Linked DNA regions of Diceros bicornis minor. The protein of the gene in region 2 binds, or shares a complex with, the protein of the main gene of each other region. Links are inferred from orthologs where the notes say so. Each region holds a gene or a part of one and is shown on either strand. Other genes may lie near its edges. The genes, in order: MBIP, DR1, KAT14 and TADA2A.

The links.
Region 1: DR1 (region 2) and MBIP share a complex: the UniProt entries of both Homo sapiens proteins name them as parts of the ADA2A-containing complex. The link is inferred for Diceros bicornis minor from reciprocal best matches to the Homo sapiens genes DR1 and MBIP.
Region 3: DR1 (region 2) and KAT14 share a complex: the UniProt entries of both Homo sapiens proteins name them as parts of the ADA2A-containing complex. The link is inferred for Diceros bicornis minor from reciprocal best matches to the Homo sapiens genes DR1 and KAT14.
Region 4: DR1 (region 2) and TADA2A share a complex: the UniProt entries of both Homo sapiens proteins name them as parts of the ADA2A-containing complex. The link is inferred for Diceros bicornis minor from reciprocal best matches to the Homo sapiens genes DR1 and TADA2A.

What each region holds. Positions count from the first base shown.
Region 1 is NC_080744.1:13,267,982-13,275,147, reverse strand, and holds the start of MBIP (MAP3K12-binding inhibitory protein 1), read right to left. Parts: upstream 3,020-7,166; 5' UTR 2,987-3,019; coding exon 2,858-2,986; intron 1-2,857. UniProt on the Homo sapiens protein: Inhibits the MAP3K12 activity to induce the activation of the JNK/SAPK pathway. Component of the ATAC complex, a complex with histone acetyltransferase activity on histones H3 and H4.
Region 2 is NC_080743.1:29,476,389-29,483,854, reverse strand, and holds the start of DR1 (protein Dr1), read right to left. Parts: upstream 3,007-7,466; 5' UTR 2,294-3,006; coding exon 2,074-2,293; intron 1-2,073. UniProt on the Homo sapiens protein: The association of the DR1/DRAP1 heterodimer with TBP results in a functional repression of both activated and basal transcription of class II genes.
Region 3 is NC_080758.1:44,871,708-44,879,566, reverse strand, and holds the start of KAT14 (cysteine-rich protein 2-binding protein), read right to left. Parts: upstream 3,008-7,859; 5' UTR 3,007-3,007; coding exon 2,748-3,006; intron 1-2,747. Other genes in the region: protein PET117 homolog, mitochondrial, read right to left, coding at 3,321-3,470, 6,767-6,862. UniProt on the Homo sapiens protein: Component of the ATAC complex, a complex with histone acetyltransferase activity on histones H3 and H4. May function as a scaffold for the ATAC complex to promote ATAC complex stability. Has also weak histone acetyltransferase activity toward histone H4.
Region 4 is NC_080757.1:25,286,682-25,294,244, reverse strand, and holds the start of TADA2A (transcriptional adapter 2-alpha), read left to right. Parts: upstream 1-4,544; 5' UTR 4,545-4,591; intron 4,592-6,927; exon of another isoform or gene 6,928-7,039; 5' UTR 7,040-7,140; coding exon 7,141-7,165; intron 7,166-7,563. Other genes in the region: ACACA (acetyl-CoA carboxylase 1), read right to left, coding at 1,947-1,978. UniProt on the Homo sapiens protein: Component of the ATAC complex, a complex with histone acetyltransferase activity on histones H3 and H4. Required for the function of some acidic activation domains, which activate transcription from a distant site. Binds double-stranded DNA.

The DNA.
Region 1 (7,166 bases), on a different chromosome or scaffold from region 2:
ACCATAAACTTTTCTAGGACATGTGTTTATGCATACTATAAGGATATATTGCATATTACAATCAACTATGTTATTTTTTCAGAAATCATTTATTAAAAATTAGTCATGTTTTCTACAAAATAAAGACAAGTGTTACATTAGTTCAAATACAGATCTTGTGAGTTGTGATTATAATAAAAGGATGAATCACTATACAAAGAACAAAAGAGATCCAAAGTTACCAAAAAAATGCACTATATTGAATGAATACTAATTGACAGAAATTTACTACCCTTCAAATGTGAGACCAGAAACATCTGAAGTCCATACTAGACAAGCATAAAGAAACAGGAAGTTTTGTGTAGGCTGCACTGGCAAATATTAGTTAATATTAATTTAACTAAGGTTTTACATGAAGATTACCACATTAATCTTAATTTATATTATTTAACACCTATAAAGATTTTGTTAGACAACAACTTATGTGTGGAAGCAAAGTATTATTATACTTTTACAGTCTTCAAAGAGATCTATAGTCGATTATAACAAATTTATAAATACAGTTTGGGGATAATGCAGGCAAATCCTCAACCAAAACAAAGCATCAAATTTTCTAGAGAAAATAATAACTCATAGAAAATAAATCTTAACGTTAGGATCATATTCTCATTTCAATTCAGCAGAATTATGTAAGCCTTCAAGTGCAATTAAAGATCCTTTGTCTTTTAAGAAAGCCACATAATAATGTCACAAATTAAAATAATCCCAACGCATCCAACTATTTATTCAACAATTCTCTATTAGTAATATGAATTCTATGCATTTTTACCCTATAGAACTTGTAACTGTAAACCACTCACTCAAAAATGTATTAGTCTGCCATCAATATGGACTATTTAAATATGCATTTTCAGTAAAAACATTATTAAATTAATACGAAAATCCAAGCTAACAGTAAGTAATTCTTCAGCTTGGTAAAATGGCCATCCAGAGGCAAGCCATAAGGTCAAAACCAGTAAATTTGAAACCTGGAATAGAAAATACTTTTTAACATTCAACTTTATGTTTCCTATTGAGGAGAGCTAATAATACAATGATACTATACAAAACGAACTTAGGCATATTACAACATACATTTTAAAAAAATCCTTTAAACTCATTGCAAAAGGAAATAGGGATCTCCTCCAGAGGAAATTTTATTAGTACTCTGGCTTTCATTCTTATCTTTAAACAATGAATCTCAATACATAAAAAATATTACCAAAATGGTTAACATTTAATCGATGAGACAATCTTATTTTTTTGACACTCGTATAGATGGTCTGTTCACTATGTCACGTACACTCGCCAAATATTTACTCTAAACATTTTTGGCAGGTGACATAAACTTTAATCACATTTCTACTTCTACCTACAGAATATCTGAATGTTTAAAATTTTTAAATGAGCTTTAAAAATTAAGTATGCAAAATATTTTAAACAAAATGTTTAAATTATTTCTTAACATTATTTTAAAAAATATCTCATCACTGAAAAAAACCTCTGTAAATTATAGGTGAGCACGAAATTCTTTTATCCTGACATTAGAATATAAATAAACCTTCAAGTTCCAATCTTCATGCCATAAAAAGTTCTCAAACTTTTAAACCATTTACAGGTCTTGGGTCTTAAGCCTGAAATATTAATGTCCCCAAGTCCTTAAAAAATTTTTTTGTAGTAAGTCTTTGGCAAACAACTGAGTTTAAGTTACAATTTTTATCAGATTCTATGAATAATCGTTCCATTACACCAATGTTTAACTTAGAGTAATGCTCTTTGTAAGTCACGACAAACATATTAGGATTTTGAAAATTACTGAAATAATCTTTTAAAAAATCGATTCTCCATCCACCCAAGGCTTTTAAAAATAATTTTCTCAAATAAGACAAATGCTCTATTTTCATAAAGTTACCATATCTTCGACACAAATGCCTGCTGTGTCTGTTACATGCACTAGTACCAGACCCATACAAACTTTTACAGCTAAAAAATTTTCCGTCTAAGATATAAGAGAAAAAAATTCCTTTAAAGGCTGACAAACTTATTTTCAGGTTGTTTCTCATTTAAAATTTGTTTTGCATTTTACATCATGAAACATATATAATATATATATAGTGACTTGATTGTAATAGAGTGTAAGGAGCACTTTTATTTAAACCCAACTTTATTATGATACTTCTGCAAAAGCTATTTATCAGCCAGTTAAACTAGTTAATAGATAAACAACTAGCTAAACAACAGTTCTGATGCGAACAGTATCAACCACGGATAACTCATCCAACTTCATGCTATAAGTATTTTAGATTCATTCCTTTTATTTTTTTCCCCATTTGAAAGGGTAAGAGTTGCACACAATGGCCAGAAGGAAAAAAGAAATAAACCAAGTGACTCATAAGAGCAAATCACCCAAGCAAGGCGGAGAGAGGGTTTTTCTAGCAATCTCAGGCGGCACTAACGTATCCATTTCTAACGAATGAACTGGAGGAAAAGGGATCCTGAGCGCCAGACGCCTCGCAAACCCTCAGAGAAGCTTTTCCGCACTGATTCTCTCCAAGCCTGTTCCTCTTGGAGCCGGGTTGCTCTTATACTATCCTCACTCACTCTGGGGGAGAAGAGTTGCAATGAAATCTAGTCTGCCCCCGGTCCTGAACTAAGCCGGTGCGGCCCTCCTCACTCCGACCGCAAGCGTCCGGGCCTGGACTCCTTCCTCCCCCGGCCGCAGCCTCTCCGGCGGGTCCCACACCCGGCAGGCCTCCGCTGCCCCCGTCCTCCGCCAGAGGAAAAAGCGGGGAGGGGCCGCACGGTTCCCATACCCCTACTCCCACAGGCCACCACTCACTTGTCCGGCCAGGGTATGCAGGGAGCGAAAGATTTCGCAGAGCACCTCCTGGGAGAGGCTGGGGCTGCAGCTCCGCTCCAGGCTCCTGTTACCGATGCTAGGGCGACTAAGCTCGGTGGCCGCAGCCATGACACCTTCGCAGGCCACCCCCGCCACCACAGAGACGCGCTCACAGCCCCAACCCCTCCCTTTCCGGCTGTCGTCGCTCGGCGATGACGTAAAAACACAGCGTCTCGCTGAGAGCGGAGCTTTGAGGACCCACCCTCTCTATGTGATTGACAGCACGTGCACCAATCAGATGCAGCGATAGCGTTACGCGGAGGACTGAGAGCAGGAATTGCGGACCTGTGCAAGGCTGGGTGCAGTATTTGGGATGGTGGTTGGAGTCGTGGTCGGCTGAGGTTTAGCTTCATGAAGCCTACCTTGACTCTTAGATGTTGCTCAGAAGTGTTGGTAAGAGGAAACTTATAGCTAAATGTTACAGTTTTAGCCCCAAATTAAAAGTTGAAATTTTAACATGGCGCTCTGGCGTGGCATGGAGAAAAATCGCTGGTCAGGGATGCGGCGGTCCCCAGACGTATTTCTAAACGTTGAAGAACTCTTTCATACAGAATTGTCATAATTGGATAGGACGTTTTCATTGCTACAAGGTTGTTTAAAACTTACACAAATTAACGTCACTAATTTTTCATGCGAGGGACGGGGCTATATAAAAGAACAATCAAGTGCTCTGTTATGCCACATTTACTATCAAGGAAATGACATTAATTACTTTAAATCTGCAAAATAATTATGTCCAGTTTTAAAACGTGCATCAGTTGCTATTCTCTGGGTGATAGCGTAGAGACGCTCACCCTAAAACTGCTTCAAAGGAGTGAAACAGTCAATATGATTCCAACAGGAATTTAACCCAAGTAGGTAATTGCATGCAATACAATCTTTGAAATTGTAAGGAAGACAAATCCAAATTGAAATTTGACGAAGTATTATTTATCAGATAGCCTTATTAAAAGATATTTGAAGGACTTTGTAATCTTGTAGAATCTTAACATTAAAAAAAAATTTTGTCCCATTGAAAAAACAAGTTGTAGAAGAATTTTTAGTGTTAAGCTCTATTCAAAAACACTTATAAATAAAAATCATCAGTTCAAAGATAAGGGACGAGGGATTTACAATTCTTAATTCTAATAGTCTAATGCAGTTGCAGTAGAGGAAGCAAAGGTGGAAATTTGCATAAGGTATTCTCCAGTTTTTGAGTAGGCGGAGTGAAAGGGGAGGAATAAGGCATCAAGGAACTGGGATAAGGGCTGCAGGGAGAAAAGAACGTCTTTGACCTGTCCCTAGGGAGCCTCTTAATTAGGCTTTCATTTCCAAAGATCTCCAAGCTTGACAGGATCTTGAGAAATCTTGTCTGTTCCCATGTTCCACAGCAAGATATACAGTTTATAACCCAGCCTACATCTAGAGGCATCCAGAAAAAGGTTTCACAATATCTAACCCCAAATTGAGCAACCTTCTTATTCACCGCACTCATCCCCATAGCTAACCTAAATTCATAATTCTTAGCAATGTTAGCATATTTTCTTTGCCTTTGGTTCTCTTGTTAGAGGAGAATATTGTAATGGGGTAACTAGAAATTTTTGTTTTGTAACAAATTAGCAACCAGCTTCAGATCATTTATTTTCACCCAGATGTGAAGATTTGTTTTAAAACCTTTTTTTTCTTTTTTGAGGAAAATTGCCCTTGAGCTAACATCTGTTGCCCATCTGCCTCTTTTACTTTTTTCTCCCCAAAGCCCCAGTACATACTTGTATATCCTAGTTGTAGGCCCTTCTAGTTCATCTATGTGGGATGCCACCTCAGCATGGCTTGATGAGTGGTGAGTAGGTCCATGCCCAGGGTCTGAACCGTTGAACCCCAGCCCACTGAAGCAGAACGCATGAATGTAACCACTATACCATCTGCGGGCCACTAGGGTGTGAATTTTTCAAATATTCATGACTCTGGTATGAAACATGGGAACATGCTTTGTCTATTACCATCTTTGATAAGGCACTGCTCCTTCCTTTCTTTGCCATCACTGATTTTGGAATTTCAAGTTTTACTTGAACCCGTAATATAGACTTGAACCCCTAATATAGAACTAATTGATGGCCATTTGGTTTGTATATAAATTGTGTAATTCTGTTTAAATATCCAGACTTGTACTTATATCTTAGTATTGGTTATTAGATAATTCTTGGAATTTAACTCCTTTCTGCATTATTTCTTCTTTCCAGGGACCTTTCTTTCTCCTTTCTGACACCTACTACCTTCGTTTTGGAAATTTTTCTTATTTTCTCCTATTTATTTTATTTTTTTTTATTTCTCCCAAAGCCCCAGTAGACAGTTGTATGTCACAGTTGCACAGCCTTCTAGTTGCTGTATGTGGGACGCAGCCCCAGCATGGCCAGAGAAGCGGTGTGTCGGTGCGCGCCCGGGATCCTAACCCTGGCCACCAGCAGTGGAGCGCGCGCACCCAACCGCTAAGCCACGGGGCCGGCCCCTCCTATTTATTTTAAATAGACGAGTTTGTAGGCTGAAAAGATGTGGATTTCCTTGGGCTAACTTTAAATAGAAATATATAGATAGTAATGTATAACAAAAATATGATGAAAGCTATGAAATTTAGAAAGGGAATAAAGGAAATAAGTTGCCATTTATAGAAGACTAATTACAGTTTATGAAGTGGGTTGCTGAAAAATCTGCTCCCTGGCAGAAATGATTCAAAGTGTTGGTCTTGGCATTAGCAACGGAGTTAGAAATACTGTCCTGCAAGCTTATGCTAAGAATCAATTGGGAGGATAGAAACTGTAAATGAAATCTAGGCTATCTATCTTATCAACAAAAATGTCCGTTTTGAAGAACTTTAAAGGCACACCCTATAAATAATCCAGTGCACAGCAAAATGCCTGAGATATAATATGTGCTCAACAGATGCTTGTTCAGTGTATGGTAGTACAAATTTTTCCTAATGCAGAAAAGGAAAAATAAATGTTATTTGCCTTCTCTGGCTCCCCATCACCTGATGGATAAATCCAAGTTCCTTAGAATGGCATCTAAGGCTCTTCTCATGATCTGGCCTTTGCCTACATTTCCAGCCTCGTTTTCTGCCTCGTTTCTGGTGCTTAATGCTCTTGAAACTTCTTTTACTTCTTCAAAGCTTTTCTGTTTTTTGCCTACATGTTTTTATTTACACCCCTGCCTCTTGTCTGCTTGGAAAACTCCTATTCCTCCTCAACTCCAACTCAGAAATCCCTGGGAAGTCTCCTCACAGTCCTTCTCATAAAGAGCTTATCTTCTCTGGTAAACTACTCCTACGACTTGTATATACTTCCATTGTAATACTTATCACATTGATAATGAAATTTATTTGACTATGAATCTGCCTCCCCATTGAACTATGAGCATTTATGTGTATCATGTTCATGTACTTAAGGCTTAGCAAAGTTCCTGGCACAGAGTAATTGCTCGGTACATGCTTGCTGAGCTGAATTTATTTGCCTAAGGTGAACAGATTTGTGAAATGGAAAAAAAAAGAAACAAGTTTCTACTCTTGAGGGGAAACTGTAACCCACAGTAAGAATGCTATAAACAGTTCATTTCAAATAATGAAGCATGTCTGTTTATCCTCTTCTGGAATAGCAAATTCAAAATGCTCAAAGTTTTCTTAATGAATAAATATAGCTAGCCTCTGTGACCATTCTCATGAATGACACCCATACAAATTAATTGTACTTACTACATGCCAGACACTCTGATCAGCATTGGAGATACAAAGACGAATCAGACAAGGACTCTCTCTCAAAGAGCTCCAATTCTAGTGGGCTAGGCATATATGTAAACAGACAACTAGGATTATATTGTGACAATGATCATATTAGACGTATGTATAAAGCAAACAATCAGTTCCTTTGGGAAGGTGTTGGGTTCAGTGTCAGGAAAAGCTCTAAATACTTGATATAAAACATGAATTGAGGCTTAAATGATGAGTACAGATTCTCAATTTAGATAAAACGTGAGCAGCAATTTGAACGTGCTTGATGTGTGCAAGGAGGATAGACTGAATAGAGAAGTATGGCTAAGCCAGCATTTCCCAAAGTTTGTTCTGCTGAATTCTAGTCCTATAAGATGCTTCTTTCAACAGAAGTTTCCATGATCAAATAAGTTGGAGTAATATTGACTAATTGTGTTGTCATGCAATGGATCACAGAGTTCCACTTTCTGTTATCAAGGAGCTCAGCACTACAATCAAGTTCTGAGGACACAA
Region 2 (7,466 bases):
TTTAAAATGATTAAGCAAATGAGATTTTCAATATATAAAATCTATTCCCCTAACTGGAGAGAATTTTGGACAAAATTGTCCTTATCCACTTAACAATAGCAATGTTACAAGAAAAAAAGGTAAATTTATAAGACTATAACAGGTCAATACATGATTTTTTAAAATTAATATGTAAATGATCTTCAGGACACAAAGGAAAATGCTTTCACTGTAACTTTCTGACTCATACATTAAACTGAATTTAGCATATTCCAAAGTTGAGCTATTTAGCATACTGCTTGCTACAGCTGCACTTTTATTCCATCATGTCAATCAGAAATCTAAATATATCCTAGAAAAGAATAAACTCTACCCAAGAAGACAGATTGTAATATGTTATTCGATTTTTGGAACGATCCCCACTTCTGTGGTATAAACAAATGTTCAAGCAGATCCTTTAGAAATCTTTTGCAATTTTCATTAGAAAGGCAATGTTGATAAAAGACCTTTTTTCTTTTTTATGAGCTGTAAAAGAAAATTATAGCTATCCGTGTTGGATAATCTTGCGAAAGACATGACAACAATCACACATGCAATGTAAAAATAAAAACACAAGAAGAAAAAGAGACAACTTGGCTTTCATTTTACTTACCAAGATTCAGCACACCAAACAAGTAGGAAAAAAATACTAACTTTAAAATCAAATATGCTTTTTCCTAGGGATTTTTTTTCTCCCTCTGTACTGAAATGGAAATGGCAGAGTATATTTTAAATCTACCTTCCACACATCATCAAGGATCAAAAATGAATCATTTAATCCTTTTGTCAATATTGACAGTAAAATATTGGATGCGGTGAACATGAACAGATGTGTTCTCTATTTCAGAATAACACAAAGCCACCTTTTAAAAAGTTAAATTATAAAAATAAAATGGTAGACAACCATCTGCTTACCAAAATGATTAAAATTAACCATGATTTTTTTCTGACTTCAAAAGCAATCAAGAAATTGTTAGAATTTTAATTGGATTATCATAAAAGGCAATTTATCACCTCAAATTGAATGCAACTTTTTCATAAGAGTATATTTAAGCGCTTCCCAAAACATTATGACAAGTAAACATGTCTCCCCACCTCAGAAACAAACCATCAGAATACAGTCCCCCCAATGACTATTACTGGACTAAATTCTTTCCAAGATAAGACAGAGGGCACTGTTAAAACTTTCAGAAGTGCTGTTCAATAAAAGCATCAATAAAAGCTTAAGCAGATACATCTAAATGGGAATGGCAGCAGGAAGGGACAGGAAAATGTTCCATGAAAAAAATCTCTTACAATCTTTCAATCCAAGCTTTAAAAACTTATCTCCATAGAACAAAGCAAGCTATATAAAAGAAAAAGAAAGATTAAAGAACATTCTACCCTTTTCCTACAGAACAGAACTGGAGTGCTTTGGTAACTTGTTGATGAACGGTAGGACTATTAAACCATTTTTAAAACAGAAAATATACTCTCTTTATTCAACATCAATAAACTTTACAACGTTGAACACATTCATATTAAGAATTTTTTTACTCATGTGTTCAGAAAATTCATTTCCTCTACATCGGCGAAAAGGTCGGGTGAGGAAGAGGTGCTGTCTCCACTCGTGCTTGAAGTTCCTGTCTGAATTTCAATTTTCCAAGGGAGACTTCTGGGTTCATTTCTCAGTTGTCATGATCTAGGTTCCACTTTAGGCAGGCAATTTCTCAGTTGTCATGTCTAGGTTCACCTTCAAGCAGGCAAAACTCTTCTTGCTTCGGCTTACCTGCCTGTAAATTGAGATCACTACTAATACTTGACCTTTGGGGGATGTTAGCTGATTGCTAAATGCTTGCAATCCTTACTTGTCCTCGCTGGATGAAAAGTACCACGAGAATACTACATAGGGATCTTCTTAAGGCACCGGCTGCCTCCACGCCCGCGTGGCTTGTCTATTTACCAGTACTTCTCAGGGGACAGGAATGAAGGCTTTGACATGAACGGGTCACGCGACTAGCAGGCTGTCCCCGGACTCCCATTTAAACAAAATCCCACACATACTACGCCACTTACCTTGTATGACATGCTCTGGGGAGATGGTCTTCTTTTCCGACTTGTTGCAAATCTCATTGGCTTCAGAAGATATAAGGTGAATGAATTCAGTGCAGCAGTTCACCACCAGCTCCCGGGCATCGTTGGCCACCCGGACATTGGGGAGAGTCTCTTTGATCATCTTATTGATAGCAGCTCTGGGTATAGTGAGGTCATCATCGTTGCCAGATGAGGAAGCCATCGTATCTTCTCTCTCGCGCCCTGACTTTTAAAAACTCCCCAGCTCTGGTCCACTACTCCACGAAGATGTTTCAAAAGGCCGCCCTTGGAGAGAGATCCGGGGGCGCCGAGAAGAGGGTGCAGAAAATGAAGGGGTCGGGGGAGGAGCTCGAGAGGGCGGGGAACACCCGTGTGTGTGAGAGATTTAGGGCGAGGCTGGGAGGAAAGTCGGGGGCTGAGGACTCCGGGGACAGCACTGCTCAGGTCGGGGAGGGGAAGCAAGGTGGTCCGGAAATTTGAACACTGGGGAACCACCTTCGTGTCTCCTCAGACGGGCGGGCGCTGTCGCCTAACCGGTCCCCAACGGCGCCCGAGCACAGGCACGGTCCCGGGGCACTGGCCTCGCCGCGGTACCAGGCGGACACCCAGCGGGCTGGCTCTACAGAGCCGGAGCCCCCGCTGCCGCCGCCGCCAGCAGCCGTTGCCGCCGCCTCGGCCAAACCATCCTTCAGACACCAGCGCCGCCGCCTCACAACATGTCGGCCGCGGCCGCTGCTGGAACAGGGGCGGCCGCCCGGGAACGAATACGGACAGAGCCAGGCACAAGACGCCCGGCAGCGGCGGCCGCTGTGGCCGTTTAGCCCGAACGCAGATCGTGGAAGCCGAGGCCGCGGCAACGGTGGTCCCTCCAGAGGCCAGGGAAGAAGGTTTGCTGGAAGCCCCTCCCGACACCCTTTGCGCTACCGGAAGCCTCACCCCCCCCCCGTGTTCCCCCCGCTCCGTTCCAGACCGACTTCCGGGTCTGACTGCCGCCCTTCCCCCACCCGCGCCGGCGGGAACCGCCCGTCTTCGCCGCCAGCAGCTTCCGCCTGCGGCCGTCCCGGCACGCGCCCCGGGATCCCACCCCTTCACAGGGACCGTAGCCGGGCGAGCGCGCGCCTCGCGGTACCGGAGAACCCCGAGCACGCGCTTGCTCTGGGGCTGCGGCGCCGGACTCGGGGTGCGGTGGGTGGGTGGACGGGCGAGGGTAGATCGCCTGTAGAGTCTCAACCGGCTGAGGCCTCGAAACTTTCTCCCATCCACGTTTGAGGACAAAAGAGCGCAGGATTTCGTTAAAAGAACTCTTTCCTGTTTCTTAAGGAGCCCGAATTGGGCTTGGAAGGAAGAGGAAGGAGGCCTGGGCTCGGGAATGGGACGGGGGAAAGCAGAACCCCTTGTGCTTGTGTCTGCATCATTTGGAGGAAAAGCTTTTGAGGGTATCTAATAGGCGTTATTGGGATCAAAGCTCTCTATGGTCCTCCCCCTATTTTTTGGTTTTATGGGGAAAAAAAACATTCAGAGAAGTGACTTGCCCTTCCAGTCACTACTAATGGCTAAACCGGAAACCAGAAATAAGATCCAACTTAGTGGAAATAACGTAGCGTCCGATGAACCACGTTATGAGGTTGCGACTTAGTCATTTTTCATGTTGTATTGCACGTTGGCTTCTGGAGAGGGGGAAAAATAATACGTTTGTGTCTTAAGCAACTCTGATTTTTGCTTCTCTCCAGGGTGACTAATAATATCAACGTGTCAAGTTCTTCACAAAAATTGCATTATTTTTGAAAACTAAGTGTCATTTGGAAGAAGGGGTCGTGTTATAAATAGTGGGGTGTTGCAGTTACTAAAAAGTAAACGAGATACACTTTAAGTCCGTTTTTGCACTTTTTAGTTAATCAGATACATTGTTCTTGATACATGGAACAGCAACTGGCTTGTTGAAATGTTTTCTTAAAACGTTTTGTTTCAGTCTGAGAACCTAGATGTGGCACCTCGAGGAGACCTCAGTTAATTACACCGTTTTTTTCCATTTTGCATTTTCTCCAGTACAGTGATGGGTTCTTTAATTTCTGAAGTGTAGACGCTTGTATTTCAGTGCTACTAAGTTTAATCAAAACAAAACTTCTTTGATGAAACAGTTTTTTAAAATTTTCTTCAAAACAGGAATGTGAAACTGTTGGCTCAGTTGTTGGCTTTTTATGAAATGTTTTTGTAAGTCAGTTTACTGTTGGTTTAAATTTGTCTAAATTTATCTTGGCCTTACCAAGTTTATCAGTCTGAAAAAGCTAGCAAAAAATGTCTCCAGTTATCACATTGTCACTGACCCAAATCTTGTCGTTCCTGAAAAAGTGTTATAATGATAATTTTGCTTTTTTATCTGACATTTGTGCTATATAGACTTATAGGTTTATGATATGTGGTTCTGTAGACCACACGTGTTAAGTTGTTATTCCAGTGATAGTTTATCACTACAGGGTTCTCTGGTAGCGTAAGCATGGAATGTGTGGTCAGGAGACCTAGGTTTCAGTCCCAGTTTCTTGTTACTTTAGACAGGTCACTCTCTGAGCCTCATTTTCTTCAACTAGAAATGGAAGTATTATATAACTCACAGGATTCAAAGTCTAATGAGACTATATAAAAGTACGTTTAACATTATGAAGTATTATATAGGTGTTAGTGTTTATTTATTATCATCTTTATCAGGTCTGGGCAGTCTTCAAACAATAATAAACCATGCATAATACGGCTGAGAGAAAATGTAATGAAATATAAATAGTAGTGTGATATATCAGGAAATATGCTAATCTGGATCCCTTTATTTATTTATTTTTGTGAGGAAGCCCTGAGCTAATGGCTGATGCGAATCCTCTTTTTTTGCTGAGGAAGATTGGCCCTGGGCCAACATCCATGCCCATCTTCCTCTACTTTATATGGGATGCTGCCACGGCATGGCTCTATAAGCGGTATGTTGGCGCGTGCCCGGGATCTGAACCCTCGAACCCTGGGCCACCGCAGCAGAGTGTGCACCTAATGGCTGTGCTACCAGGCCGGCCCCTGGATCCCATATTTAAATAGTTGTTTATAGTACAATATATCCTTGTTATAAATAGGCTTTTAAAAACAAGGATAACATCTCCTTAATAAGCTTTAAGCGTTTTAGAGAGAGTGCATATATGCGAAACATTTTTTTCATGGTATCCTAAAATTCATGATATGAAAAGACACGTAATAGGGCTGTTTCTTATGAGTTAGGCTAACTCTACAGTAATTATCTTAAAATGTGTTAATTCAAAGATGCCCAGGTTTTCAGCTAAAATTACTGATCTATAATATTTGTAATTTGAAGCTTAACAGTTAACAAAAGCAAATACTACTCTCCATTATGCTAATTTGTCATTGCTAACACACCAATTGCTAGTTGGTGATAATACAAATTTAAAAAAACTAGCATCTATTATATACTTCTTTTGTGATTAGCACTATGCTAAGTACTTTTACCTGTATTATCTCATTTAATCCTCAGAGCAACTTTATTTGATAGATTCTATTTTAATCTCCATTTTACAGATAAGGAATTGAAGCTTGGAGAAGCTAAATAATCCCCTGGAAGTTAGTATAGCAGTCAGGATAGGCTAGATTATGTTGCAAGAACAAATAACCCCCAAATCTCAAAAGGTTTATTTCTTGCTCATGTTATGGGTTCATCATGGGTCAGCAGGAAGACATAACACACAGTAATCACTCAAGAATCCTTTGAAGCTATTGAGAAGAGGTAATGAAGGAACCTTGAAATATAGGCTTTTGATAGGTGGAGAGAAGAGAAGAAAGTATTTGTGTTCAAAGTAACAACATAAGGTTGTGGAAACAGAAATTGTTCTGTAAACAGTGAGGAGATCACCTTAATTGAAGTAAAGCATTTGTGTTGTACAGTAGTGAGAGAGAAGTGACAGAGCCAAACACTTGAGGCAGCAGAAGTCATGAAGTAATAGAAGCCAAAAGACAGAGCGAGGGAGAGGAGAGAGAAGTCAGTCAGTCAGTTAGTTATAACAAGAGCAACAGAAACAAGGAGAGAAGCTTCAGGGCCTCAGGTACTGGTGTCAGAGAGCCCAACAAAATAACTGGATCGCTAGAGTGTTGGTGTATTCTGCTTTTGAAAGAGACAGTAGGCCTCCATGAAGCAGTTTCCTGTGCTGCTTTGCTTCCTGTGTATCTTCATAATACTTTTCAAAAATCCTGGTTTTGTTCTTCTCAACTTGAAAGAGCCCAGTTAATTCAAGGGCTTTGGCTTCAGATCTGGGTTTGATCCCCATTCTGCTGCTTAACTAATTGTAACGACCAGGGTATTTAAGCTGTGTCTTGATTTTTCTCATCTATAGAATAAGGATAAAAATACCTGCTTCATAGGGGTGTTTTAAAGATCAAATGACAAAGTGTATACAAAAAAAGCCCAGAACTTAAATGCTAAATAAATGGTGGTCACTGTTAAAAAAAATAATCATTACACTGATGGTTATTACTCCTGGGAATGGAATAATGGAAGTGAAAAGAAAGGTGATTCCAAGAACTATTACACAGTGTTGGGGAAAAAAATGATAGTGTGGCTCCTAGATAGTCAAGGAAACAGATTAGTCAAATACAGTTAGAAGATTTTTAGCCTCAGAAACTGGGATTAGGGATTAGGGTAGTGTCCAAAACAGCAAAATTGAAAGGGAGCTATTTAGAGGAGAAGATGTGCTTCCTTTTGCACCTGTTTGTGTTTGAGGCCCCAGTAGGCATTTAAGGAAGTGATGTCCTATACGCAGTAGAAAGAGAAGACAGACAGCATCTGATTCCCACATTCATTCAGCAACTGAGTGTCTGCTGTCCTAAGTATGATGCGGAAGAAATAAAGATGAATACAACACCTTTCTTGTTTTCAAGGACCCTACAATCTGTTGGAAGAATCAGGATATAAACCAGATTGAAATGAAATACAGGATAACATAGGAACTAAGAGTGTGCAGAGGAAGGAGTGATTAACACACCAATTGTGAGGTACAGAGGGCTTTAGGGAGGAAGAGTGTGCAGAGGAAGGAGTGATTAACACACCAATTGTGAGGTACAGAGGGCTTTAGGGAGGACTCAGCATTTTAACTGAGGCTTGAAGATGGAGCAGAAATTTGATAAAGAAGGAAAGAGTATGCAGCTGAAGAAGAAACACAAAAGTATATCGTGAATTGGGAAATTAAGTAGCCTAGAGTGGCTCTGTTCATCATAGGGTATATAAAGAGGTGTAGAAAGATGTGCTGCAGGAAAAGTAAGTTAGGCCCAAAGGATAACAAATCTGTGCCTGTTATGAATTACACGCTGTACTAGAAGTTTTCATATTCACTATT
Region 3 (7,859 bases), on a different chromosome or scaffold from region 2:
GTGCTATCGCCACTCACAAAAATTAACTCAAAATGGATCAAAGACCTGAAGGTGAGACCTGAAACTATAAAACTCATAGAAGAAAATATAGGCAACACACTATTTGACATTGGGTTTAAAGGAATCTTTTCGGATGACATGCCTACCCAGACTAGGGAAACTAAAGAAAAAATAAACAAGTGGGACTTTATCAGACTAAAGAGCTTTTATAAGACAAATGAAACCAGAATCAAGATGAACAAACAACCAACCAGCTGGGAGAGAATATTTGCAAAACATACATCTGACAAGGGGTTGATCTCCATAATATATAAAGAACTCACACAACTGAACAACAAAATAACAAACAACCCGATCAAAAAATGGGCAGAGGAAATGAACAGACACTTCTCCAAGGAAGATATACAGATGGCCAATAGGCACATGAAAAGATGCTCAACATCACTAATCATCAGGGAAATGCAAATCAAAACAACACTAAGATACCACCTCACACCCGTTAGAATGGCTATAATCACCAAGACAAAAAACAACAAATGTTGGAGAGGATGTGGAGAAACAGGAACCCTCATACACAGCTGGTGGGAATGCAAATTGGTGCAGCCTCTATGGAAAACGGTATGGAGATTCCTCAAAGAATTAAAAATAGAGATGCCCTATGATCCAGCCATCCCACTACTGGGAATCTATCCAACGCACCTGAAATCAACAATCCAAAGAGGCTTATGCACCCCTATGTTCATTGCAGCATTATTCACCATAGCCAAGAAGTGGAAGCAACCTAAGTGTCCCTCGACTGACGATTGGATTAAGAAAATGTGGTATATATATACAATGGAATACTACTCGGCCATAAAAAAAGACAAAATCGTCCCATTTGCAACAACATGGATGGGCCTGGAGCGTATTATGTTAAGTGAACTAAGCCAGAAAGAGAAAGACAAACACTGTATGATCTCACTCATATGTGGAATATAAACCAACACATGGACAGAGAAAACTGGACTGTGGTTACCCGGGAAGTGGGGGTGGGGGGTGGGCACAAGGGGTGAAGGGAGTCATATATGGGGTGATGGACAAACAAAAATGTACAACCCAAAATTTCACAATGTTAGAAACCATTAAAATATCAAAAAAAAAAAAAAAAAAAAAATAGCTGAGCTCCCACTGTGCTAGGCAGTGGGCTAGGAACCAGGAATACTACACCCAAGACAGACATAGTACCTGCAAATTCTGTGAGGGCTACATACAGGGAAACAGGTAATCACAAGAGCACAGTGATTCTCCCTCCTCACTGTGCATCAGCATCACGCACAGTTTTTGTTTTAAACATGCCTGGACCTACCCCACACAAAATGAATCAATCTCTGAAAGTGAGGCCTGAGTCTCTGCTTTTTTTTTAAAGTTCCCAGGTGATGCTGACACTCTGGGAGACATGAAAACCACTGGAGTGGAATGTGATGTGTGCCATAGGGCAACGTGTGGGCACATAAAAGAGGTACCCAACACATATTAGGAAGAGAGCTAGAAAAAGTAGGGTCTACAGGGGACCCAAAGGATGACTAGAATTGGCCGGGTGAAGAGAGGCAATTGTGTGTATGGGGGGAGGGATGGAGGCTATAGAGATGCATAGCCCAGAGAGGAAATTAAAATGTGCAAAGTCCTCGGGATAAGAAATAATTGTTTGTGGTGAGAAAAAGCTCATCCTAACTGCAAAGTTCTGTTTATATGTGGGGATAGGAGGCTACTAAGGAGAGGCTGAAGAAGTTAGCAGGGGCCGATCATGAAGGACAGTTTAAAACGTACCCTGCGAGGACAAGGGGAAAGCCACTGAGATTTTCAGGCAGAACCCTGAATTAATAAGCAGAGACAGCTCGGAAGCAACAACTAGCTAATATGTAATAAAATCTAGGTTTGTTTTCTGTGAAAATGTTATCTATTAATAGTAACTATTAATCTGAATAGATGAATCCATCTTGAAAACATTTCCACGTAACAGAAAAGGACCCACTTCACAATTATATATAAAAATTTCTCTGATCTAGTTACCAATTCTATTACACAAAGTATTCCTCCAGTACATATGTCTTTATTAGTCTCTGCCTAATGGAAAAATCCTGTTTGGTAAGTCTCATGATGGCTGGCAAAGCATACTCCCTGAGAGCTAAGAAGCTGGCAGCTAAAAGATGGAGCTGAAACACTGAGGTGTCAAGGGGGTACGTAACTATGTGCCTCTCGAAGTAGACAAGGAGGCCAACAAGTAGGAAACAAGAACGGTCCTAGAAAAAGGGCACAAAACACTTTTAATCTGCTAATTCTGACCTCACTTCAGCATACAACAGCAGGAGTTTTCCACCTAAGTTAAATATTAACAGAGTAATTTTTGTGAACTTGACCTTTAATTCTACACTCGGCCTAGAATTTGGCCCCAAATCCATAACAACGTGATCTTGGAAGAAAAATGTGACTAAGTCTTTAAGTAACAGAGGATTTCCAACTTTCTAATTTTTATTGGATTACCATCAAGAATGTTAATTTAACAACATGATAGAGGTTGACAGTAATTTTTATTAGTACAAATGTGTCTATGTTTTATATAAATTTGTAATTATTCAACTAAACTAATAATAAATATAATAATTATCTTTTTACTTAGGTCTGTTTTACATTCACGTTTCTTTCACAGGTTAGAAAAACAAACCTGCACATAGGAACTGACAAATCAAAGGAAATGAGAAGCTCCTTACTGGCTGGTATCCATCTCTGGCACTTGTCACAGAAGTAGGCCAGCCGTTCCTCCATCCACGACACGTCTCCTTCGTCACTGTTGAGGGAGTCCCCACTCTGATCATGAGACAAGTCCACTGATGCCTGGTCCTCTGACTCAACAATCAGCAGAGTCTCCCCCTCCACCTCACCCTCCTCAAGTCCTTCTGAGGTAGATGTTCTAGTGGCTTCATCATCGTGCCGACTTATCAAACCACTCAGGTGGACGTTACTATCCATCCCTTCCTTCTCACAGGTGCAGAAGCGCTTCTCAGGAACAATCCTAAGCTCTGGACACCAAGCTTAAAGCGGCTTCTATCAGGATCACACAAACAGAAACTCTTCAGAAGAGTGTCTGCCCACTTCTTTACTCAGATATAGGAGACTTTTAAAGCAATCATTTAAAATATATGACCCATTGTCCTTTTTTTGATCAAGTTTAAAAAGACAGTGACAAAAACAAGGTTGAAATTTCTCTAAGCTGTTCTCCATCAACACACTCACACACACATTTAACGCTGTCTGTCCCATCGATTTTTCCCATTCATTTCAAGTCATGTTTTTTGAGATCCTTTTGCCAATACCATCTTCTCTCTTTCTGCTTCAAGTTGCTCAGTTAAAATAATCTGTTCTCCCAAAAGGCGAATGTTTTCTTTTTTCCGATTTTGTCTCTCAATGTCTCTGATCACTCCGTCACGAAGCCTCTAAAAACGTAAGCAACAGATTTCAGTAACACCCTGACCAGGTGGTTCCCATCCTTGTGCCATCCAAATCCAAACAACAGTGTTACCAAAATACACCTAAAACCTTCAGATTCCAAATACCCAGTTACTACTGTAACTTTCTGTATAAATGTAAAATGTAATAAAGAAACCATCAACTTAACTGGGTACTGTGCTATAGCGTTATTACTGAAATGACTTATCATATTTTAAGAAATTCCTGAACATTCAGTATAGAAAACTTAATGGGAAATAACAATTAAAAGAGAAAAAACTGCCACTATACTGAATTTTAAAAGTTTGATAGAGGATGCTTTAAAAACTTGATGAGATACTACATCAACTCTGAACTACTTTCCTGTTAGCAATTACCCTAGTTGAATAATAAACATCAAAGAAAAAAAACGATTACTAAAACTTGAACAAACTGTAAGGAAGCAAGAAAGTAAAAAAACTGGCGCCCCCCCAGAATGTAAAGAGAAAAAGTAAAAATTATTCAGAATTACTAATCAATTACATAAGAAGGAGAGAAGGGGAAAAAATAATGCTACTATCAGAGGAAAAAATAAAGGCCCGTCAATGGTAGTTACTTTGATAAGCACTAAAGACAGGCAGAAAATTCCAGAACGTGGACCTGGCACCTAAGATGAGACTTATTAAAGCATCAATCCAGTCATTACTAGTAATTAACACTTTATAGATTATAGGTCACAAAACACTCTATTAAGTTTTTAACAGTGGCCCTGTGAGGTAGAATTAATGGGAGTGGGGCTGGGGCATTTTTTTTAAATTATTATGTCTATTTAAAAACTCACCAAGTACCTACTTGCTGGACCTCCTCCAGGCCTAGAGCTTCATTTGCTATCATGGGGGAGTTGGGAAATTTAAGAGTCCGGGGACTGATAACACAGCTGAAAACCAACTTTCTTGAACCCTGTACCCTTTGCAAGATCTCCAGAGACAGAAATGGAGACACTCATTCCACTCCTCCCTCCCCATTTCTTCCTGTCCTGGGCTCCTTACACCATGACACACCTACAACACCCCAACGCACCCCCCCGCACAAAGTCCACACCCACTGTAATCACTGTTTCCACACCTGCCTCTGAGATCCTACCCTTCCTTTCTCAGACACTTTAGCACATGGCTTAGGATCTTGCTCTCCATCCATCATCTGCTATCTTCCTCCAAGTTTCAATGTCTTTGTGATTGCCTCGCACATCCCTCCTGGGACTTCCACTTAACTACCTTACTAACCGCCTCGCTTACAAACCACCAAGACCTCTTCACTATTACAACTCTAACACCTAGAACTCTGGCTCCTCCCGCAGTACCACTTGTTTTGCTGGGTTCCTGTGAGGATTAAAGATGATGTACATAGAGTACAGTACCTGGCATGTCGTAGACAGTCAAGAACAACAGGAAACAACAATCATTCTTTTATTTCTTGCTTCCTTGAAACTTCCAATATGTCAATGTTTTTTTGTGGTGAGGAAGATGGCCTTGAACTAACATCTGTGCCAATCTTCCTCTATTTTGTACGTGGAATGCCGCCACAGAATGGCTTGATGAGTGCTGTAGGTGCGCGCCTGGGATCTGAAGCCACAAACCCCGGGCCGCTGAAGCGGAGTGCCCCAAACCGAACCACTACGCCACTGGGCCAGCCCCTCAATCTTTTGTCCTACTCTTTCCCATTGCTGGGAAGTAAGCCCACCCACATGAACAACTGGATGTAAAGTAAACACACTATTCTGGTCAATCTTTTCTTCATCTCTAACTTCCAAATACCTAAATCCTCCTGTTGTTCCACTCTCTAACACAGTGGTTCTCAACCTGGGCTACATGTTAGAATCCCGTGAGTCAATTTTAAAACAAAGCTAAGCTGGATCCCCATGCCCTAGAGATGTTGTTTAATAGGTCTGGAGTAGGGCCCAGCCTCAGCTGCACTGTAAAAACTACCCAGGAATTGGGATGTGTAGCTAGGGTTCAGAACCAAGCTCTAACTCATCCCTAGCCCGTACCCTTTAAAAGTCCCTGCATTGGCTGACCTCAGAGCTATATCTGACATACTATCCTCCACTCCATCTCAAATTTTCTCAAGATCACAGTCTTTTCTTTCCTAGAGGAAGAAGTCTCCTGCCTCTATTCCAAATGCTACCCCCTTAGAACCTGTACTTTAATCCCAAATCTCTAATCTCTTCCATGCCCTTTCATCATTAGTCTCCCATTACGCCCTCCTCAAAATTTTTGTATCATTACAGGCTTCCTCTTTGATTTCCAAAGTCTGAACAGCGAGGACTAGACCTCATGTGCTTCACCTCTGTATACCAAGCACAGAAGACCGTCCAGTGCAAAAAAAACTGTTCACTATTGATTCATCCAGTCCATTACTTCCACCATTGGCAAACTAGGCTAAACCCCAATCCCTCACCAAGATGTTGAGACTTCACCCACGACCTAGTTGCTCCTTCTCACACTCAACACCCAGCACTGTTTTGAATCATTTAGTCTCAGGAGCAGCTGTGCTTCCTCATCTTTGTTTCCCAAAGTGCCTAGTGTGGTGCCTGACACACAGTGACCAGTCCTTAAATGTTTGCCAATTGAATAAGAAAGAAAATGTGAACTGAGAAATACAGAACGGACGGTCAGTCCACTGATCGGTAAGTCTCGGATATTTCCAGAAATAAAAGTACTGAAAAGAGAAAATTGGGAGGCTGGTCTCTCTAGTGTTCCCTGAATCTAGTTTCCATAGCAAAGTGTTCCTTAAAAAAAGAAAAGAAAAACCAAGTATCTCACCAAATTACCTTGGCCAAAAAAGCACGACGGCGAGAGCGGGGACGCCTTCTTTTTCATGGGATAAAACCTTTTTAACTTTTAAAGATATCAAAACCTAATCTTGGGCCTGGGGGTAGAGAGAGGCCGGTAACTCGCTGGGTGCACCCCAAAGAAACCCTTCCCCGCCTCTACTTTCCAGCGGCCCAAATGAGGTGCTGGAAGGTCTCTATCCCCGCAAGCTGCCTGCGACCTGAAAGCAGGGCCGCCGAGCACCCGCGGGCGTGCGTTGGCGGAGCCAGGTGACTTCGGCGCGGAGGGCCGGGCCCCCCGGGCCCCGAAGACGCACGCGGCCGCGGGCTGCAGCGCCCAGGGCTGAGCGGGCGGCGGCCGGGCCGCAGCGGGAAGGCGTGGAGAAGCCGAGCCGCGCCGCGAGGACCCGACAGGAGGAGAGGCCCGGGGCACCGCGCGGAGGGCCCGCGGAGAGACGGTCACGTGACACCGACCTGCTGGTCCTGCCGCTGCTTCAGATGCACGCCGGCCACGGTGGCCGCCGTCAGCACCACCGAGAGGCCCAGCACCGCCTTCGAGCTCCTCGACATCCCCCCGCCGGCGCCGCGACCTCCTCCCCCGCCCGAGGCGTAGGACCGCCGCCCTGCGCGCCGCCGCCGGTGCGGCAGCCTCGACTCCTCGAGCGCAGAGCCCCCGCCGCCGCGAGCGCCGCCCGCCGCCGCCAGACGCGAGCAATCGAGAGCCGAGCGGTGCCCCGGCTTCGCGGAAAGCGAGGCTTTGGTTGCGGCCCCCAGACAGGAGGGATCCCCTCCCCACCCTGCAGGCGGCCGGGTTAGAACTCCCAATTCAAATTCTAAAGAGCCCCGACCCAAAGCTGGCCCCAGCACCTTGCCGGGGTAGGGGGTTCCCTGCCTGAGCCACCTCATCTCCTCCCCGCCCCCCGCCCCCCGTCCCCAGCGGCGGGAGGCGTCCTGGGGGCCGGATTCCCGATGCGGTACCTTGCTGACCCCTCTCCCACGCGCGTCCCTTCTGAGCGCAGGGCTGACCCAGCTGCTCTGCTCAATACCAGCTGCACCAACGCAGCCCCCGTTGCCCCTGTGGCGGGGTAAGTGCCACCAGGAGATGGAGTTTTTGCTTCTTAAACGTGTAGACACGGTCACCTGCTTTCACCTTGGCGATCTGGGGTGGCTGGTCAGGGTCTGATTTTTCTTAAAATCGAAAACCCTTCTGGCTAAAGAGCATGCTAACGGGGCAGCAACACCTCCTTGCCTCCTGATAGGAAAAGCGCTGGTCACCGAGTTGCCCATGTAAATCCTTAAGAGATCACTTTTACTCCCTGGGAGCCTCAGGTCCCGCCGCGGTAGGAGAGGATTCCTGATAGCGCCGTTACTGGGAATGTGCGTGAGGGCATGAAGTAGTGCGTTGACAGTAGCGCAAAGTGCTGTGCAAGGCACGGAAAGACTTTGGCTTTCCAGTGAAGAGATATTTTCATTGTCATTCTTTCACACTAGAATTCACAGGGAACAGGGAGGTGACGTCAGCATCATGGCGGAGTGAGCTTTCCGTGAACTCTACCCCGACAAGATA
Region 4 (7,563 bases), on a different chromosome or scaffold from region 2:
CTGGTGACTCATTAGATAGATATCTTGCATTTTGTGTAGATCAAAAAGAAGTCAGTGAGGTGAGGAAGGGGCAGAAGAGATGGGTAGCAGAGGCCTGGAGTCATGAAAACTCTGTTTAATGGCCATGGCATTATGAAAATCCTGACACCTGCTAACTCTTCAGTTTTAAATAGTCAGTGGCAGTTTACTAGTTACATTTGGACAGATCTTGGTTTAATTATGGCTGTGCTACTTAGTAACTGAATGACTTGGGGCAAGTGGTTTTACCTCTCTGAGCCTCGTTTTTCCTCATCTGTAAAGTGGGATGCAGTAGGGCCCTTTAGCAGAAATTGTTTTTCCCTTCTGTTCACCTTTGAGATCTTTAGGGCCTTCTTACATAGAAGCACCCTAGACAGGCCACCGTGTGGAGAAATGGCTATATGTAGACCTTACATTTCTTCAAGTAGATTAGCAGAAGTGCTTCAACTCTTCCTCTGCAGACTGGTCATAGGTGGGGTGGATTAAATTAAATAAGCAGTCTAAGAACATTCGGAAGGAAAAGGATTGATTCTCTAACTTCTTTGACTAGGGTGGCCACAAAGGGAGAAAGATGGGGTGGGGTACAGTAAGCGGGGAAGGAAGGAGGAGGGCAATGCTCCTGAATGCAAGAGGCATTAGCAGAGGCTGAGGAAACGAACCAATCCTCAGCTGGCTGTGGGGGAGCCAGGGCTTCTGTGAAAGTGCCTTAGTGTGTGAACTCAAAGAGCTGAGAGCTAAGAGCTCAAACCCTTGAGGCTCAGGCCTTTTGGGGAGTGAAGCCGTCTCTACTGAGTGGGTCACAGGAAAACTCCTTGCCTTGAAAAGCCCCTGTAAATGGCAAAGGGCCCTGCTCCAGGACCTAAATCTCTGGCTAATTTACATTGACTGGGTATATCTCAGAATTTAAAGGGAAGGAAGCTGAAACCTAGAAGGCATAGCTGGACTTTCAGACTTTCTGTTTTTATCTATTTGTACACCAAACTACAAAGTGCCACCTCAGTTAACAGGAAAAATAAATATTAGATGAGATAAAGTTTATAAAGTCTTTCAGCATTCAAGACATGGTAAGTAACTAGAAATGGCAGAGAATCATTTCAATAGGGAGGAGGCTCAGAAACCGCACTTCTGATTCTAACCACAGCAGCTTAGTAGTTGAAGAGGAACTGTTGGGATATTTTGGACTCAGTCAACGGCAGCCACGTTACAGAGCCTGACAGTAGGATACAGTTTTCCTTGTTGGGTTTTCAGTTCAAAAGTCAACCTTCTCAGTTAGTTAAGAATGGAAGGGCTTGGAGGATGCGCCATTAGTCTGTCCTGAAAGTCAGTCTTCAAAAATATTTGTCCAACCTGGACTGATCTTGGATATTATTAATGTAAATTTCTGTCTTAAAGAGGACAAAAGGTGTTTTTTCAGGTTCCTTCACAGACATGGTTAGTGAGGGGAGCAACAAGGCACTCAGTCATCTCTGTTATGACAGGTTAAACACAGGGTGCACCGGAAGCATGTAATAGGGCTACTTAACCCAGACTTGGGAGGGTCAGGAGCAATGTTCCCGAGGAAGTGATGTCTAAGCTGAAGGGGAGGTACAGTGGCAAAGGAAGCTTGGAAATAACAGAGTGTATAAGTGGAAACAGAGATACTTCCGTCTGGCTGGAGAATGAAGTGTAAGACAGGGCAGTGATGATGAAGAAACAGGGAGATGCTAGACCCTGAAGGGCCTTCTACAAAGAGCGACCATGCAACTTATTGTACAAACTGAGACACTTCTGAGAGTGAAATAAGACAATATTACTAATTATATGGAGACAACAGGAGTAAAACAGAACTGTCCTGAGCAAACTGGGACTTATGGTCACCTGACTTGTAAGTCACGTTCAGGTGCTTAAACCTCCAGTGAAAGCATAGATCGGATATCTTCTCTTTTTACCTTATACATTTTGCCTGAGTGACTTCATCCATACCTTTGCCTTTACTTGTTCGTTTCACAAATATTCGTCCAGGATGAACTTCTGGGCACTGAGGTTACAAAGAAGAAAAGACAGTGTCTGTCCTCAAGCTTTGTCTAAAGAAGACACACATCCAAAGAAACAATTCTAATACAGTTATACAACTTTAGCCCTGGCCTCTCCTCTGAGCTCTCAACTCCCATATGCCATTTCCACTTGGGCTGCAAAACACAGATCCAAAACAGAACTTTTAATTTCTCCTCCAAAACTGTTCTTCCTTCAGCTGGTCCTTCACTTTCCCTTTAACTGGTCTTATAATTAATGCCACTATCTACTACATTGTTAAGGTGAAAACCCAGAAAAGCACTGGGTTATCCTTCTTCTCACTCCACATTTTAATTTCCCACATCTTTCTTAAGCACAATGACTAAATTGGGGCCTAGAATTCTGAGGGCCTAACATCAATTGAAGAGGAAGGGTAATTTCCAGGTGCTTAAAGGCTACATTTTTAATGAATAGATTCCAGTATTATGTGAGGTTGTTTTTTCCACAATAGTACAACACTGATGACTCATATTCAGTTTGCTGACAATCGTGACGTCCAGATCTGGATATATGCCCTAGTCAGGCTTGAAAATTTTCAGTTTAGATGAGAAAGACATGAAGATATCCTAAGTGTTTGACCCTATTTCTTCTTTGTGGAGGTGAGAGTGGTTGTAAAGATGTACGTGAAACACCAATGTTAATAAACAATCTGTTGAACTGCTGTGTAAAAGGACAATTTATGCTTTAAAGGGCAATTTTAATGTTTCTACCATTTATTCTCTACACAGCTGCCAGAATGATCCTTTTAAAACAAATCTGATTACGCCTTTCCTCTCCACCCTTCCATGGTAGTCTATCACATCCCAATAAAATCCAAAGTCCACCCATGGCTTACCAGACGATACATGATCTGGCTTCTGCCTGTTTCCCAACTTATTTCTCTAATTTGCTGTGCTCTAGCCACACTGGTCTCCTTGCTACTTCTCCAACATGTCAAGCAAGTCTCTATCCCAGGGCCATTGCAATTGCTGTTTCTCTTCTAGAATAGTTTTCCTCTAGAAATCCACGTAGCTGCCTCTCTCATTTAATGATTAGATTTCTGCTTATGTGCCATTAAGGGGCCTTCCTTGTCCACTCCATCTAAAAGAGCACCCCACATCACTCTTACCCCTTTATCCTGATTTATTTTTTTCCATAAAACCTGCCAGATTACTGGGCATTATCTCTTATTTAGTAATATATTATGTGTATTGCTTTATTGTCAATCTCCCCCACTGTTATATGAGGCAGAGACTTTGTTTTGTTTACTGCTGAATTCCCAGCACCTAGAACAATGTCTGCTCATTAAATATTTGTTGAATGAATGAATAAACAGATTTTCAGGATATATCAAATGTAAAACTACTCCGTATTTATTGACATGATGCATAGGAAAATTTCTGGAAGAGTGTATACCAAAATGTTAACTGTTTATTTAACATGGTGGGAGCTGGTTTTCACATTATTTTTGCTCATGTGAATTTTCTGATTTTTTCTTTAGAATGAACTTGTATTACTCATATACTAAAAAATGAATAAAGAGGCCACACAGGCAGAATGTGTAAATGAATTCTAAAAGACATTGGGCAAATTTATGCAAGACAGAATTCTAAACAGATGTAACAGCATAATGGTTAAGATAAACCACAGTTTGAATCACCTTCCTCAACACTTTCTGGCAGTATGATCCCAAATTATTTAAAAGCCAGAGTCTAAATATCTTCACTTGGAAAATGGGGATAATAATAGTGTCTACCTCATAAGGTTGTTTTTGAAGATTAAATGAGACCATGTATACAACCTCCTTTGAACAATGCCAGGCATGCAATAAATACTCGACAAATGGTAGCTATTATAATAATTAGTAGTAGTAATAAGAGATGTTGGGACATACCTAGCCCTCAAGATTGACATCAGAGTGGCCCACCACATCCTCTCATCATTGCGCCTCAATCTGGGCCTCTGAAGCCCAAAGAGGGGATGGTTCTTTCCAAAGGAGGTAATTGCGACGTTCCAGGAGCATCTGAATAAAACGTACCCTGTTTACCCTTAAACCATTCAGTCAGTCTGGTTAATCCATGGGCAGCACTGCAAGACCTGGACTGGAGAGGCGGCCACTGCTCGCCGTCCTTGGGCCCAGTCCCTCAGCCTCAATTTCCTTTGCTGCAACAGGGGTGGGGGGTGGGAATGTTAAAAACACAAAAGCAGGACAGTACCGGCCCGCTCCACCTCACCGCCCTCTGGAGGGGATCAAACGGCACCACGCACCGGCAAACGTCTGGCGACCGGCAACGCGCCTCACGGGAAAACTGATAACTGGTCGGACTCAAGGGTTAGGCCAGCTGCTCAGCCCCATCCTCCCAGGCCTCTGCGGGAGGACAGCGACGGGCACGCGGCGAGGGCCCGGACAGGGGCTGAGGGGGCGGCGGCAGGCGCGCGGCACGCGGCGCGCTCGCGCCTGCGCCGCTCGGGAGCGAGCACGCAGCCCCAGGGGCGCGCGCGGCTGGCGGCTCCACGGCGCGGAGGAGGGGGACGCGGCGAGGTGAGGCACGAGGCACTGTAGGGCGGGCGGTGGCGGGTGCGAGCCCCTTTAGGGGGACGAGGGGGAGGCGGGGACCGCGAGGTGCGGCGCGGGAGGGGCGCTGCGGGTTCCGGTGGCCGGAGAGACGCGGGGGGTGTGGAGGCGGCAGGCGCCAGCCACGCCGGCTGTGGGGGAGGGCGGTGCGGGACTCCGCATGACCTCTTGGGCCCCGCCCCGCGGCGAGCCTGTCGCGTCCCGCCCTCTGGGCGGCCCCGCAGGAGCCCAGCCTCGGTATTCCTGTCTGTGCAATGGGGCGCGTAGCTGCGCTGGTAACTGCCACGGTGTGTCCTGCCCCTGACCCATGTTTCCCATTGAGTTTTCAAGTAGGCCTTCCAAAGTAAATATTTCAGCTCCGTTTCAGAGCTGAGGCTGTCTGAGGCTCAGGTAAAATGGCTTGGCCGAGAATATACAGCTAATAAGGAACGCAGTGAGGATTTGAACCTTGTCTGCAAAACTCCAAAGCCTACACCTGTCCTTTGCACCACACTGAGTGCTGTTCTTCACAGTACCTTCCTTCCTCCTCCCACTAACTTCTTTGAATGTGGCAAATGTTAATTTGGAGCTAGCACCCGTTCTTTCATGGATGTTAGTGTCAGAAATGGCTCAGGAGAAGAAATGAGAGGAAAACAGAAGGTTCTGCTCGTTGCAATATTGTGCTTATGACATGGAGTGTTTACCAGACTGTGTCTACATCCTTTACTTGAAATTTCTATTAACCTGTTGAAACAGCACTGCTGTTCCCTACCTGTAAGACGTTGTGCAAGTATCATTCTTTCAGAGCATCCTTTCCTTCTTTGAAAAAGCAGCATGCCTCAGAAGGTTGTGAGGATTCAAAGAGAGAATCCACATAGAGTGGTACCACAGTATGTGGCATGTGAGAAAAGTTCAATAAATGTTGGCCATTATTTTATTATACTGAGCGCATAATACCCCGTGCTAAACTCATTTTTCTTCAAAGACTAACTTTTCCTGGGACTAGAGCAGAGGGAGAACCATCCCACTCCAGCCTACCCCCAAAAAAGACCAGTTCATTGACAGCCATGTTATTTGAGTGTTGCGTACGCTTAGTGATGAATTATTCCCCAAGCTAAAAATATCAGATGAAAGAAGTCACTCCAGGAGAACTAAAGATGAATTAAACTTTTATAGGACTAACATTTGCCCATCACATTTGTGTTTATTGAGTTCTTCCTCTGTGCTTGGTACTTTAAGGCATACAAATTTGTACTGGATGTAGTCCCTGCTTTCATTTAGTCTAAAAATGGGGGAAATTCAGAATTTCAGCATTCAGAAATAATCCTCAGAAAGTAGAATGTGAAAAATGCCAGAAAAGAGATAGATGAAAAGCTATGGGAGTTTAGAAGAAGGAAGGATGTTTTCTTGGCTTAGTGTGAAATATGATTTCATTTCTGCCTTCAAGAAGATCTTTGTAGGGGCCGGCCCGGTGGCGCAAGCGGTTAAGTGTGCGTGCTCTGCTGCAGCGGCCCGGGGTTTGCGGGCCGGATCCCGGGCACGCACCAACGCACCGCTTGTTGAGCCATGCTGCGGTGGCGTCCCATATAAAGTAGAGGAAGATGGGCGTGAATGTTAGTCCAGGGCCAGTCTTCCTCAGCAAAAAAAGAGGAGGATTGGCAGATGTTAGCTCAGGGCTGATCTTCCTCACAAAACAACAAAAAAAAGATCATTGTACATTGTACATACCTATTAAATTTTGTTCAGAGAGTAAATTAGTGAACAAGTGTATGTCATAACAGATAGAATTCCTTGGTTTCTAGTAACAGAAACTCATTCATGTTGAAGTATTATTGGAAAGAGAAATGAGGGGAAAAAACTAAACAGTTGAGCCACCCTTGGAGATGAGGATCTGAACAGCCAGAACTCATGGACCAAATTCTTTGACTAGTGAATGACTGAGCTTCAACTGCCTTCTGTCCTTATATGTCTTACTCAGGATTCAGATTTCTGTAAGAAGAGATCTGGTTGCTTTAGCTGCTCTGGGGGCAGGGGATGGAGTATTATGATTGGCAACCCCGCCAGAACCATATGAAATGTGGGAAAGTCAGTTTCTCAAAGGAAAGAGGGCTAAGCGGAGAAGTGATGCTGGGCAGAGAATACCAATAGTTGTTTATTGGAGGTACGTAGCCTTTATAGAGGGCTTACTATGGGCCAGGCACTATGGTATATTATTTATGTGGATTTTGATATTTAATTGTCACAACAACTCCAGGAGGTAGATGCTATTATATCATACCCATTTTACAGAGGAGGAAACGGGCTTTATCTATAGAATGATTTGCTTAGCATTATAAAGCTAGGATGTGGTAGAATTGAGTATGTTGCCTTATCTTCTCTTTATCTTGTCCCTTTGAATTATTTCCTGATCCATGTGCCACTTTTGTTTGTTCATAGGGGTCATCAAGCTTTGGTGTATGTGTTGGCCATTTCTGAAATTTCCTTGAAGGAGCGCTGCATTGAGGAAGATCAAAGCAGCAGTTTTTGCCAATTAGGGCATGGACCGTTTGGGTTCCTTTAGCAGTAAGTACTGTGGGAACAAGTCCCAGGTGAATATTAATAGCAAACTGAAATGGAAGCTGATCAGAGAAGAAAAATAAGCACTTTGAAGTTCAAGCTCTGTGAATCTGATCCTAAAGGATTAAAAGTATCAAATCAAAATAAAATCAACCGATACTTATTGATTGCCCGCTGAACACATGACACAAACATATCACCCTAGGTCTTATAAGAAAACTAAGCTCAGATGGACCAGGCATAGTATGATTAACCTGCAGTTAGACTTAAAAAAACAGTTGGATTTCTCATTAGAACCAATAACATATTTCAGATGCCTTGATAGGAAAGAGTCAGTGGTAGAATAAAGGAAGTGCCACCCTGCCTTTTTAGATGGAACTTGGGTTCTAAGAGTAAACCACAGT